Linked DNA regions of Macaca fascicularis. The protein of the gene in region 1 interacts with the protein of each later gene in a pairwise test. Links are inferred from orthologs where the notes say so. Each region holds a gene or a part of one and is shown on either strand. Other genes may lie near its edges. The genes, in order: MEOX2, SHFL and MAPKBP1.

The links.
Region 2: the proteins of MEOX2 (region 1) and SHFL interact in binary tests that used the Homo sapiens proteins (3 or more experiments, as listed by UniProt). The two-hybrid records come from large-scale screens. The link is inferred for Macaca fascicularis from reciprocal best matches to the Homo sapiens genes MEOX2 and SHFL.
Region 3: the proteins of MEOX2 (region 1) and MAPKBP1 interact in binary tests that used the Homo sapiens proteins (3 or more experiments, as listed by UniProt). The two-hybrid records come from large-scale screens. The link is inferred for Macaca fascicularis from reciprocal best matches to the Homo sapiens genes MEOX2 and MAPKBP1.

Annotation. Positions count from the first base shown.
Region 1 is NC_088377.1:114,505,910-114,511,073, forward strand, and holds the start of MEOX2 (homeobox protein MOX-2), read left to right. Parts: upstream 1-1,563; 5' UTR 1,564-1,842; coding exon 1,843-2,356; exon of another isoform or gene 2,357-2,403; intron 2,404-5,164. UniProt on the Homo sapiens protein: Mesodermal transcription factor that plays a key role in somitogenesis and somitogenesis and limb muscle differentiation. Required during limb development for normal appendicular muscle formation and for the normal regulation of myogenic genes.
Region 2 is NC_088393.1:10,637,207-10,640,975, forward strand, and holds the end of SHFL (shiftless antiviral inhibitor of ribosomal frameshifting protein), read left to right. Parts: intron 1-625; coding exon 626-729; intron 730-851; coding exon 852-1,006; intron 1,007-1,475; coding exon 1,476-1,708; 3' UTR 1,709-1,992; coding exon of another isoform or gene 1,993-2,183; 3' UTR 2,184-2,653; downstream 2,654-3,769. Other genes in the region: ANGPTL6 (angiopoietin-related protein 6), read right to left, coding at 1,993-2,183, 2,757-3,027, 3,101-3,288.
Region 3 is NC_088381.1:18,402,580-18,407,643, forward strand, and holds part of MAPKBP1 (mitogen-activated protein kinase-binding protein 1), read left to right. Parts: intron 1-459; coding exon 460-630; intron 631-1,018; coding exon 1,019-1,156; intron 1,157-1,421; coding exon 1,422-1,604; intron 1,605-1,834; coding exon 1,835-1,852; intron 1,853-2,124; coding exon 2,125-2,285; intron 2,286-3,040; coding exon 3,041-3,230; intron 3,231-3,749; coding exon 3,750-3,896; intron 3,897-4,114; coding exon 4,115-4,290; intron 4,291-5,064. UniProt on the Homo sapiens protein: Negative regulator of NOD2 function. It down-regulates NOD2-induced processes such as activation of NF-kappa-B signaling, IL8 secretion and antibacterial response. Involved in JNK signaling pathway.

The DNA.
Region 1 (5,164 bases):
AAACAATTCGATCTTTCACACGGATGTTTTTGAGAAGCCACTATTCTACAGCATGACTTACAAGAAAAGAAGATAGTGAGGCTTAAGCAGGGGGACTGGAAGAGGAGGGGGAAGGTTCTGCTTTGGGGACACCTCTCAAAGATTAATCAATACTTTTTCCTAATTCAAACCAGATGTCTAGCCCAGTTTGCTGTACCCATTAATCCCACTAACAACTTCAAAGACCTGCTCATCATCCTCTGGACACCTGAGACAATGAAAATAACGGGGCGACACTGCTGGTGGTGCATTTGGGGCCCCGGGCGGAATAGGTGACTACAGATATTCTCCTGATGCGACAGGTCCCAGATGGGACTTGACTGTTTCTCCTGCTCATTACAGAGCCACTCACTTGTGTGTAAACGACTCTGCCCCCAGCGGACCCTGTCACCCGCCAAACAAGTGGCAGTCTCAAAGCCCTGCCATCGTTCTTGCATGCTTACTGGAGGCAAATTTTCTAATTTATTTTCACGGATGCAAAGTTATAGCCAAGTGCCCAAGCTTAGTGAATTTTGGGAGCTATCGAAATGTAAGATTTCTCAGTAAATGGGACGGTGGTGATAAGGGATGCGATTAGCGGATTTATTTTTGAGGGGAAGAGAGTGGATTTCTGTAGGAAACTGCGGAGACCTAGGCTAGCTCCTGAGGGGAAAGGCTAGATATGTGCGTGCAATCTACACATCTCATGTGACCGGGACAAAATCGCCTGGAAATATTTTTGACCCAGGAAAATTTCTTCTTGGTGGACAAGTGGCTAGGAAATTGAGCGGGACCAGGAAAGAGGGGGAAGGGAGACTCCACCTGGCATCGCACAAGAGGATGCCAGGGAACAGGCATCTGCAACCCTTTCAGACTCACGCCTTCCTCCCACCCACCCTACCGGGTCCCTCTTGGTTCCGCACTGAGAACTGCCTTTTCCAGGCCATGGTACTCATCCCCACAACCTCAGATCTGGCGTCCCAGCCCATTAACAATCCACCCACAGAAACCAGCTGTGAAAACCTAGGCGCGCTGCGGCGCCCAGGGCACTGGAAGATGCGAAGTTTGAAAAACTTCGAGGATGCGCCTAACTAGCTCTGATCTTTTCGTTTAACCCTATTACTTCTTTTGGGTTCCTGAAAGGCTAGGCATATCCCTAGCTTTTCTGCAGGTGACAGTTCACAAATGACACTGACAAATCACGATTCCCGGAGAGGAAAGTGAGTAGGTAGGAATCAGGGTGCTGGGTTGGGGGTGGTGTGCGCCGCGCCCAGGCCTCCAGAGTCTGGAGGGCAGAGCTGCTGCCCTCCCGGGCGGGACTTAGGCACTGGCGTGCCGCTTGTAGCCCTGGCAGCCGGCAGTGCTGGGCGGGCGTGGACGCTCTGCGTCTGTCCAGCAGGCGATAGGAAGTGGAACTGGGGAGCGCGTGGCGCAAACTGAGCGGGAGTTTTGGAGGGAGTTTGCATGTGGTCAACTCTGGGCTCCTAAGCCGGCCCCCAGCTCACGTTACACTCTATTTATAACCTCTCAGAGCCATTTCCCCCTGAAAGCAGTTCTCTGGGACCACCTTCTTTTGGCTTCAACCTCTCCCACTCTTGACATCTGAGTAGTTCAGGGAAGCTCTTCCAGGTCCGACTGTTCATATGCAAAGGAGACTGGTCGCTGGGGCTCAGAACCGGGATTATCCGAGCTCTGCAGAAGTGCACGGCTATTGCTTTGGGAGGGTAAAAAAAAATCATACGGTTTCCAGTGAAAAGTGACAGAGGGTGGTGACCTTTGGAACCGTCCTGAAGTCTTCTGCCTGGAACCTGAAACTTGCATGCTATGGAACACCCGCTCTTTGGCTGCCTGCGCAGCCCTCACGCCACGGCGCAAGGCTTGCACCCGTTCTCCCAATCTTCTCTCGCCCTCCATGGAAGATCTGACCATATGTCTTACCCCGAGCTCTCTACTTCTTCCTCATCTTGCATAATCGCGGGATACCCCAACGAAGAAGGCATGTTTGCCAGCCAGCATCACAGGGGGCACCACCACCACCACCACCACCACCATCACCATCATCAGCAGCAGCAGCACCAGGCTCTGCAAACCAACTGGCACCTCCCGCAGATGTCTTCCCCACCGAGTGCGGCTCGACACAGCCTCTGCCTCCAGCCCGACTCCGGAGGGCCCCCAGAGTTGGGGAGCAGCCCTCCGGTCCTGTGTTCCAACTCTTCCAGCTTGGGCTCCAGCACCCCGACTGGGGCCGCGTGCGCGCCGGGGGACTACGGCCGCCAGGCACTGTCACCTGCGGAGGCGGAGAAGCGAAGCGGTGGCAAGAGGAAAAGCGACAGCTCAGGTAAGGGCGCACCAGGCACCCTCGAGAGTGCGCGCCGGCCTGGAAAGGGGGCGGAGAGATGCCAGGGGAGATTCTCGCACTACAGGGTGGCAGCGGGGAATATGGGAATGTGTTGCCCTTTGTGGCTTCCCGCGGCCAAATTCGGCGGTGAAGCTTTGGTCCTGATATTTGGGGGACACGTGTTTATCCGAGAGCAATGCATATACAGCCAGCAGCTCTAAGCTCTCCAAGGTCCTAAACTAGTTTACCAGAAGGTTGATAAAAAAGGACAAGTGGCTGTGAAATCGATTGCGAAGCGTGACCTTCCATCCCAGCGCTGGGGAGGGAGGGGCGTGCGCCCAGAGATGCAGCGTCGGTTGGGCAGGCGTGCGTGCGGGTGCCGCTTCTTGACTTTTCTCTTGCAAGTTCCCGACTGTGAGTGGCTCGATTTTTCCCATCGTTAACTGGATTTCCAAATCATTGCACAATATTTGGAACTTGCAGTGGAACTTGGCAGAGCGCATGAGAAAAAAAAAAGTTTTAGTTTTTTTTTTTTTTTTTCTAACATTCTTATTTCAGCGTTCTTTAAATAGCACCCTATTTCAAATGGTAAAATTTTCCCTTTATTGGGGAAAAAGACATTATCTAGGAATTCAGATTTTAAGGAATGTGTCAGAGAATTGTAAATAAATAGATGCTCACATTGGAAGAAAGACGAACCTTAATAGTACATGTTCATGTGGTGTAAGCTAATTACAGAATCAACGTTTCAAAAGTGGAAAACAAATCCCTCTACCAAGTGGGTATTAGTAGAGACAAATACAGCGAAGCAACAGTAGCTCGGGTAGTGTTAGTTAGCTACGTGCCTGAAGGTGGTATGTAAGGGTGCGCGCAGGAGGCGCTGATTTTAGTGGGGGATAATTTGAGCAGCCACGGAAAAGGGAAACCTTTCTGACCTCTGGTACTTGAAGACACACTTGCCGAGTAACTTTTCTGTAGCAATCCAGAGAAACTCAAAGTTTTCCAGACCACTTTTCAAAGCTCTTACCTACCTGTATTATCATAAAATTGTTAAAAGATACTTTAAAATTAAGAGACTTGTGAGTTTTCTTTCGTGGCTATAGTGCAACCTGGATTGCATATTTTTGGAAGATATCATTTGTTTAATATAACATTTGCATATTTTTCTTCCTCTGCGGAATTGGGTTAATAATAGTCCTAGAAGGTAATCCCATATGTTGGTTTGAAGTATTGGACAAATGTTTATCGTGTATAAAGCTTTAGGTAAGATGCCACCTAAATGAAAATGATTGACCGCATATTTAATATTCCTTCACCCTTCACAGCAATATCAATTGTTATTCAGCAATCCTATGGGATGGATTCTTCTGTCATGGTCTCAAAAGCTAACTTTTATTTTCCAAGGTCAGGGGGTGAACTTTTAATGTTCTGTCACAAATTAGTTTTTATAAGAAAATTACCAGTAGTGTCACTGATATTTAATGTACTTTCCTAACTATAAGTGAAAGTCTCTTTAGATAGTGAGTTGAATGGTTAATCATAGCAAGAAGGTTTCAATTTGTATTAGAAAAACAGTCAATTTTAGAATGCAGTGACAATTTCATAAACCGAACATTTGATATCAGTGTCACTTTGGAAGCAGATCCCAGTTCAGGTTGATGAGAGTACTCTTGCAATTCCCGTAAGCTCTTACTGTTCATTTTATTTTTTGCAATGAGTAACCTACATGACAGATTGTCCTTTATGCTTCCTGAACTGAGCCATTGCTCTTAAGTTTCTTAGGGCAAACTGAATTTTCATACAAGCACATGTTATTTTGTTTGGGGGAAACCAAGAAAGTGGAATTCAGTAACTGATTCCCTTAATTTATTTTAATAATTTTTTTAAAGTGGAATAATTTAACAAAACGTGTTTATCTCTCCTCCTAACTTAGTGGGAAATAACCATTTAACAAAATTAAGTTCATTTCTACATGTTGAAGCTGATAATGAGGGTACTGGAAAAACAAGCCAATATAAGTGTTTGTGTCAGCTGCATAAATTATTAACAGATTAAAACTTGAGTGGAAAGTACAATTAGTCATCACCAAGGATAAAAATACTGGGGACTTAGGACGAGCTTTTCTTTCCTTTGATATTTTGAAGAAATATTGACTAAAAGGAAGTATCCCAATAATTTCTGTTTAAATCTATGTACACTTATTGAAAATAAAATTTTATTTTCCAATTTCAGCTTGAGGTATATTTGTCAGATATTCAGATAGATTTAAATTAAAGATATCTTTCTCGTGTAACAATTGCATTAGGTTTTCCATAAGTTATCTTCAAAGATATTTTATTTCATAGACATCTTGATCCAGCACAAACTAAAGCAACATTGAAAATGATTATGATCCTGGTATGCTATTAATACGTATATCTCTCATTGTTTATAGCACATTTTAGTATTTCACTATTTGTAAAAAACAAAATTGAAGTGCTTTCAGAACTCCTGAAATTTAAAATTGTGTTAGATAAAAATCTCATCCTATATAGTGAGACCATCTGTATTTTGGTAGGTAGTTTATAATTACTTTTCATTTATGGTTGAGAGAAGATTTAGTACATAAATCCAGGGTAAAGTCAGAACCAAAATTCTGTATCCCTGCATCTAATACCTAGATTGTATGTGTTTGCGCTAATTACCATGTTAAATTCTAATAGAATTTTAAGCACCAGAAAATATTGAAAAACAGCTTAAATATTTATAAACCTTACTATTTAATTTATAGTAATGATTTAAAACTATAATATGTAAGCTTCTATAGTA
Region 2 (3,769 bases), on another chromosome or scaffold:
TGTGGAGATGGGGTTTTGCCATGTTGCCCAAGCTGGTCTCACACTCCTGAGCTCAAGCAATCTACCGCCTCAGCCTCCCAAAGTGCTGGGATTACAGGCATGAGCCACTGCGTCTGGCAAAAAAATTTTTTTAATTAGCTGGGAGTGGCAGTGTGTGCCTGTGGTCCCAACTACTCAGGAGGCTGAGGTGGGAGGATCGTTTGAGCCTAGGAGGTGGAGGCTGCAGTGAGTCATGATCACAACACTGTATTCCAGCCTGGATGACAGAGTGAGACTCTGTCTCTGAAAAAAGAAAGAAAGAAAGAAAAGAAACCAAATCTGACCTCAAAAACACAGCCCCAAATCTGGCCTCTGAATGTCCTGACCAGTAGTTCGCTTCTGGTCAATGCTTAACTAGTTCTTGCAAAAGAGGCAGGAAGCCAAGATGTGTAGTGTTTGCCAATTTCTGTGGTGTAAGTATTCCCACCATGGTCAATATGAGGCTACCCATGTGAAGTCACTGATTGAGTTGGGTTGCTCAAGCTGAGGCCAGCCACTGCAGCACACTTCTAGCCCTGACCCCAACCTCAGACACCTCTGACAATCCTTGGTCCCCTCTCTGCACGCCCCCCCCCACCACCACCAGGTATCCCGGTGCCGGAAATGCCGGAAGCGCTACGAGCCAGTGCCAGCTGACAAGATGTGGGGCCTGGCTGAGTTCCACTGCCCGAAGTGTCGGCACAACTTCCGGTGAGGGCGCTGACCCCCAGCTCCCCCTCAGCCCTGCCCCACCCCAGCCCTGCCCCTCCCTGCCCTGGCCCCACCCTGGCCCAGCCTCGCCCTCGGACCCTCACAGCCCTGCCCGCCCCCAGGGGCTGGGCACAGATGGGGTCCCCGTCCCCCTGCTACGGGTGCGGCTTCCCCGTGTATCCAACACGGATCCTCCCCCCGCGCTGGGACCGGGACCCGGATCGCCGCAGCACCCACACTCACTCCTGCTCGGCCGCCGACTGCTACAACCGGCGAGGTGAGGCTTTTCTCCTCCAACATCCTGGGCAGTCTTTGTCCCCTTCTGTGCCTTTAAGTCCCCAAATCTCCACTCAGTCCACTTCGTCTCCCACAGCAGCAGCCACTGCTTCTACGTGGCCTCCATGGCCCCCCAGTCTCCGTGGTCTTGCCCACGAGGCTCTGAGGTTTCACCCCAGTGGCCCATGCCTGAGGGTCTCCATGGCCTCTGCCCCCATGGTCTCTGGGTTTGGGGCCCCTGTTTTGTCCCCTGTAATCTCAGGTGACCCCCCATGTCCCCAGGTCTCCTGTATCTTCAACACCCCTGAATGTCCAGTTGTGCTGGTCCCCGTATATTGTGGCCTCAGCTCTTCCCTAGAGCCCCTCGTGGCCTCAGCCCCTCCCTAGAGCCCCTCGTGGCCTCAGCCCCCTCCTGCCCAAACTCTCATGGGACCTGGAGTCCCATGTCTGCAGCACCTCTCCCTCCCTAGAGCCCCACGTGCCTGGGACATCCTGTGCTCACCCCAAGAGCCGGAAGCAGAACCACCTGCCCAAAGTGCTCCACCCCAGCAACCCTCACATTAGCAGTGGCTCCACTGTGGCCACCTGCTTGAGCCAGGGCGGCCTCCTGGAAGACCTGGACAACCTCATCCTGGAGGACCTGAAGGAGGAGGAGGAGGAAGAGGAAGAGGTGGAGGACGAGGAGGGCGGGCCCAGGGAGTGACCCCTGCCAGGTGCAGATACAAACCAGACACGGTCTGTGGCTACTTTGTGTTATTATAAGATATGAGCTCAAACCGAGATATGAATGACCTTGGGGAGCCATCTGGGGCCAAGATATTGACAGGGGGGGATTCCTGGGGCCCATTTTCAGCACCCAGGGTCACAGATCCACAGTGGGAGGTTCTGTGGGACACACTGGCACTGAGCCACAAAGGTGTGGCCAGGACAACTTGAGTTCCTGCTGACCAATGTCCCCTGGGGCCTAGGGGACAGAGGAACAGAGAGTCACAGCTTCAGGGGCCGAATGAGCATGGCGGCCTTCCTGAGAGAGTATGCTCCACCACGAAACTCAGCCCAGTAGACACCATCCTGGTAGCGGCTTCGGTAGTGGCCGCCGCGGTGCCACATACCGTTGAGGTTGGAGTGGGCACAGGCATGGTACCACCAGCCTCCCCGCTGGTACAGGGCACAGTTACCTGAGGGGAGAGAGAGAGTCCATGTCCTCTCACCAGAATAAAAGTCTCTACCTGCACCTCACAGTGCAAGGCTTTTGCCAGGTATCCCCTGGCCCCTCCCATTCTTATTTAATACAAGCCCTGATCTTCCATCTCCTCAGCAAAAAAATAGGAGCCCTGGCCCCCCAACTTTCTTCGGAGTAATAGCCTTAATTCCTTCCCTATCTCCTTACCAAAGTACGAGTCACACCTTTCCCACTTTTTCTGCAAACTAGGAGTCTACCACTCATTCCTTTATCAAAGAAAAGAAAATTACCTACTTCCTTTCTAGATAAGAGTACTAGCTCTCACCCTCTGCCCTTCACTTGAACAGGAGTCTTGATTCTTTTTTTGCCTCATCAGAGAAGGAATCTGGACTCCCCATACCCCCACCAGGATAAAAGTCCTGACCTTTGTTCTCTTGACAGAATAAAAGCTTGCTTATCCTACTACTTACCAGAGGGGCGTCTTACCTACCCTACCTCCTTTCATTCCCTCACCAGAACAGGAGTCCCACCTCCCCTATCCTCCCACCAGAATAAGAGTTCTCCTTACCAGAATAAGAGTCTCGGTCCCTATCCACGGTGCTGAAGGGCTTGTCATTGTGCCAGGAAAGAGAGTCTCCAGCATCACCATGGTACTGGCCAAGCCGCAGGCGGTAGTGGTCGCTCTCAGGTTCCAGGGAGAAGCCATCATAGTGGGCACGTGCTCCACGGCCTCCCCAGTCTTCCAGGAGAACCAGCAGCTCATGGTCCCCACGGCTGGTCAGCTGATACACGGGTTCAAGGCCCAGCCAGTATTCTCCGTCTGGCCGCCCAAAGCCCGCCTGGCAGGGCAGGAAAGTCAGGAAGCCAGAACAGGCTCCCTCCCCTTCCCTGTCTCTGCCCACCTGTGCCCACCTTATAGTGCTGCCAGGTAGTGAAGAAGTTGACTGAACCATCTTGCCTCCGCTGGATCACAGTCCAGCCTCCACCCTCCAGCTGCTGTTCACACCATGCTGACACCACATGCCGGCCCACTCGCAGTTCATACACTCCACTCTGTTCATGGCCTGCCTGGCGGGCCTCTGCACAATCCTGCCATGGGCCTGTGGGCACAGGGATATGTGGGAGGCACAGCCTGGGCTGACCAATCCCTTACTGGAGCAAGAGTCGAGATTCTCACAGGTCCCCTCACCAGAATAAGAGTCCTGCCTCTCCCACTTTTCTACCAGAATCCTGCCTCTCCCATTTCCTCACCAGCATAAGAGGCCTGCCTCTCCCATTTCCTCACTAGAATTCGAGCCCCAATAGCCATTTCCTTACCTGAGTAAGAATCTGGGTCCCTTGTCTCTAACCAGAGGAAATGCCAAGCCTGGGGTTCTTTCTTTCTTTTTTTTTTTTTTTTTTTTTTTTTTTTTTTTTTTTTTTGAGACAGAGTCTCGCTCTGTCGCCCAGGCTGGAGTGCAGTGGCGCGATCTCGGCTCACTGCAAGCTCCGCCTCCCGGGTTCACGCCATTCTCCTGCCTCAGCCTCCCGAGTAGCTGGGACTACAGGCGCCCACAACCGCGCCCGGCTAATTTTTTGTAT
Region 3 (5,064 bases), on another chromosome or scaffold:
GGGCTCCGAAATGTGCATTTGTAAGAAATTCCAAGATAGTACTGATGCTGCTGGTCAGGGAAGGGTGCTTTGGGAACCACTGCCTTAACTATTCCTTACCCCCGGGGGCCCCCTGCTGGGCTCAGGAGGAACGCCTTTGTCCCGGCAGCAAATAGACCTGAGTGGTAGTGGCTCTCAATGCTGGCTGCCCATCAGAACCATTCAGGGAGCCTTGAATAACTAGAAGTACAGACGGGCACCCAGAGATGCTGACTAAACTCCAGGGCCACTTTCTCCCTGATAATCACTGTTGCTCTCAGATCTTTACCATATTTCCTCTGTACCCTGCCCTGACTTTTGGCCGGGAGAATGATGGTATCCAGTGACTGAGGAGGCGAGGGCCCCACTCTGGAAAACAAACGGGGGCTGTATGCCTGTGGAGAACTCAAGAACTCACTTCCAGTTCTTGCCTCCTTGCAGAGTGGGCACATGCCCGCCGTGCGGGTTTGGGACGTGGCAGAGCGCAGCCAGGTGGCCGAGCTGCAGGAGCACAAGTATGGTGTGGCTTGTGTGGCTTTCTCTCCTAGCGCCAAGTACATCGTCTCTGTGGGCTACCAGCATGACATGATCGTCAACGTGTGGGCCTGGAAGGTGAGTGGCTGGGTGGGATGGCCTGGCAGCCTCACAGGGGTCAAGTGTCAGCTGAGGAGGCAAGAGACTGCTGGCCTGCATGGCTCCACTCCACCCCACTGAACCATTCTCATTCTGGAAAGTTATTTGAAGCAGAAAAGAGCAACCATGTGGCCAAGCATGTTGGTGGAAGGAGCTAACTTTATGCCTTCAAGGACTTCTGCAGGAAATGAATCTTTTCAGCTCCTCTAGAAAGGGATTATTTCCCCACCCCTCTTTTTCTGGCCAGTAAATTCTGGAAAGAAACGCTTTTTCAAGTACAAATTCGAATTCTCCTCCATTCTCTGAGTCACTGTCTTCTTAGCTCCAAGAGACAGGGCCTTGATTCTTCCTTTGGCATCCCCTCTAGAAAAACATTGTGGTGGCCTCCAACAAGGTGTCCAGTCGGGTGACAGCAGTGTCCTTCTCTGAGGATTGCAGCTACTTTGTCACTGCAGGCAACCGGCACATCAAATTCTGGTATCTCGATGACAGCAAGACCTCAAAGGTGAGGTGCTAAAGCTGCGAGTAGCCACCAAGTCCCCAGCCAGGGCCTGCCCAGCCCACCCCAGGAGACTCTGGCCGACTTGGGCCTCTCTCTGCATTCCCAGCAGTCATGCAGAAGTTTTGGATGAGCCAGATGCTGTCTGGGCTGAGGAGTAGGCCCAAAGAGCAAGGGGGTGCTGGAGGCATCCCCTGTCCTCTCCTAGGGCCTGGTTTCCAGGGGCAGGCTCTGGGGTGGATAGGGGGGTAACAGTGGTGTACCTCCACAGGTGAATGCCACTGTGCCCCTGCTGGGCCGCTCAGGGCTGCTGGGAGAGCTGCGGAACAACCTATTCACTGATGTGGCCTGTGGCAGAGGGAAGAAGGCGGACAGCACCTTCTGCATCACGTCCTCGGGGCTGCTGTGCGAGTTCAGTGATCGAAGGCTTTTGGACAAGTGGGTGGAGCTGAGGGTAAGTACCTCCGTCCCCAGGGGTAGGGTCTACCCATGTCTCAGCTTAGGGGAGAACTAGTGCCCAGGGCTTCAGACTAGGGGCTGGGCCCTCATGCATACGGGAGATCCCAGGAGAATGAAGCTTGGGGGAGCTAGAGCTTGGCCCAGTTCCAGCCCTTGGTGATCTGTGTAACTGCCTCCTCTCTGCTCTTTCTGTCTCTCTTTCCCCTGCTTTCCTCTTCTGCTCAGAACACAGACAGCTTCACAGTAAGTGGTGCCTGCACCCTCCTTTCTTTCTCATGCTGTTTCTTTCTCTTCACTGGGCTTTTCTTACTGGATCCTCTGGTGCCTAGAAGAATCCTCGATTCCTATCCCCTGGCTGGACAGGGCTGAGGGCTCAGAATAGAGCAGCTGGGCAGCTTTTCCCTTGCCCCTGCCTTGGCCGGTCCTTCCTCTTGGCAGGTGGCTGTTGATGGGCGGGGAGGAGAGAAGACTGAGTGGGCAGGTGGCCTTGCTGAGCTGAGCCACTCTGCCCACAGACCACAGTGGCCCACTGCATCTCTGTGAGCCAAGACTACATCTTCTGTGGCTGTGCTGATGGCACCGTGCGCCTTTTCAACCCCTCTAACCTGCACTTCCTTAGCACCTTGCCCCGACCCCATGCTCTGGGGACAGACATTGCCAGCATCACTGAGGCCAGGTGAGCTATGTGGGCCCCCCTTCCTCCATTCGTAGCCTTACCCCTGCCCAGTCTTTCTTGTCAGTGCCTCAGGGAGCAGGCGAAGAGTGTACTGATGCCCCAGAGATTACTGGGAACACCTCTTTAGACAGAAGAATTTGGGTTTATTGGTACTTGTTGCAACCAAGGAGACCCCACCCTGTGGAGAACTGTGGAGAGTCTCAGTAAGTGGGTGTTAGAAGGGGCATATGGGATTTGGGCTTGCGTTGGGTGATTTTAGGAGTAGTTCAAGGGATTGAAGTATTCTGGTTGGATGCTGTCAGGAACTAGGGGCAATTCTACAGTGGCACATCTTGTTAATTTATCTAAGAGGTGAAGGAAAGGTATGGGGCTAAAGCTGTATTTGGTCAAGAAGCCGCCAGCAGTCATGTAGATGGGAAAGGCGGTGTTCGGTCATTGTCGTGGTTTGTGTGGTGATCTTGTTTTTATCTGTGCACAGAGTAGTCTTGGTTTTGTTTTGCCCCATCACAGCCATAGAATTACCTGTCTAACGTTGGTGTTCTGTGAAACTGTTCATCCGAACACCATGGCCCAGCAGCTAGTGCCGGGTCAGGTTCCTGCTAATGGCTAGTAGGGGCTCCTTTCTTCTCTCAAGCAACTACTTCCAAACCTGCAGGTCCGGGAAGGGCTCCTCACGCACTGCTCCTTCCATTGTGGATTGGCTTCTCTTTTCAGTCCCTTCAGTCTCACTAGTGTGCCCTGTCCTCTCCCTACAGTCGCCTCTTCTCTGGAGTGGCCAATGCCAGGTATCCAGACACCATTGCCTTGACCTTTGATCCTACTAATCAGTGGCTGTCTTGTGTGTACAACGATCATAGCATTTATGTTTGGGATGTGAGGGACCCCAAGAAAGTGGGCAAGGTGTACTCGGCTCTGTATCATTCTTCCTGCGTCTGGAGTGTGGAGGTATGTGGGCTGGCTGGCTGGCTGGAGACTGGCCAGGTTGGCTGGGATACCATTTTGAGGACAGAAAGTAGGGATCCCCAAGTATAATCTTAGATTCCTGCTGCCTCCCTGTTTCTCCAGTGAATTCCCTGGGATAGATCCCGGGGACTGAATTTGAATGTTACAGGCTTCCCCAGTGTGCCCCATCTTTAGTTTTGCCTCGGTGATCTTGAACAAGTTATTGAATTTGACCAAGCCTCAGTTTCCTCAACTGTAAAATGGTGTACTTGCTTCACCTAATTGTTCTAAGAATACAATGAAATAATGTAAGTGGGAGGCATAGAAGAGTGCCTGATTTATAGTGGGTGCTTCCCCTTGGTCATAATGAAGAGTCTATACTAGCTATGTATGGCCTGTGACAGGCACTGGACTAAGTCCTGGCCACCATTCCCTCTTTCGTCCCATTCCCTTTCATCTCCTTGGGTAGGCAGAGGACTGCTCCCAAATGGAGGTCTGATTGTGTTCCCTCGGCCCCTTCAGGTCTACCCCGAGGTGAAGGACAGTAACCAGGCCTGCCTGCCCCCTAGTTCCTTCATTACCTGCTCCTCAGACAACACCATCCGCCTATGGAATACAGAGAGCTCCGGGGTGCATGGCTCCACCCTCCACCGAAACATCCTCAGCAGTGTGAGCCCTGAGGCTGTGGGGCCCTGCTTCACCCTCAGTGCCCCCCTCCTCACAGCTTTTGCACGTTGTTATTGGGAACGGGTCCCTAGGCCTTGGCTTTCCAGCCTTCATTTGGCTGTGCTCTGTGGTCCAAGGGTTTGTTTTGCCCAGCTGTCTTGCCCCTTACAGCTGTACTGGTCAGGCCTGCCTCATCTACCTCTTCTAACCTGTTCCACTAGGACCTCATTAAAATCATCTATGTGGATGGGAACACCCAGGCCCTGCTGGACACAGAGCTGCCTGGAGGAGACAAAGCAGATGCGTCCCTGATGGATCCCCGCGTGGGCATCCGCTCGGTGTGTGTCAGCCCCAATGGACAGCATCTAGCATCAGGGGACCGTATGGGCACACTTAGGTAATGCCAGGCCCTGGGTGGGTACTGACTGCCACTCGTGGTGCAGAGTCAGGTGTTTAGAACTTTACGGAGGGTTGGGCTCAAAAAGGTTGGGCAACAAGATACTTATTTACAAGGGAAAGGTAGTAACTTTACAATGAGTAAACCTAGCAGAAATCATCTTCCCCAAGTGGTCATACACTAACATCCTCATATCAACATCCTCATGTCAACATCATGATGCCCGTAATAGGATGTACTAGGAAGAATGTGACAATGTTTCAACATTGTTGTGGTATTCTTACCAAAAATGCATAAACTCAATGTAGGCGTGAGAAAACATCCAACAAACTCAAATTGAGGTACATACCACAGAGTAACTGATCATTACTCTTCAAAAGCATCAAGATCATGAAAAGTAAAGAAAGACTGGAGAACTGTTGCAGACCACAGAAATCTAAGGAGAAGTAACTAAATGCAATTTGGACTCTGGATAGGATCTGGAGTCAAGAAAAAGGACATAGCAGGAAAACTGGGGAAATTTGAATAAGTTTTCTAATTAATAGTATTATACCAACATAAATTTCCTAGTTTTGATAATTAGACTATTGTTATGTAAGATGTTAACATTAGGGAAAGCTGGGTAAGGGAAATATGGAAGCGCTCTGTTCTTTCAGCAACTTTTCTCTAAGCCTAAAAGTTCACAAAAAGGAAAAAGGTAGGAGGAGAAAATGTAGAAGTGGGCGTGAGTCCTTCTTCCTGCGACCTGGCCATCGCCTCTTCCCACCTCTCCTC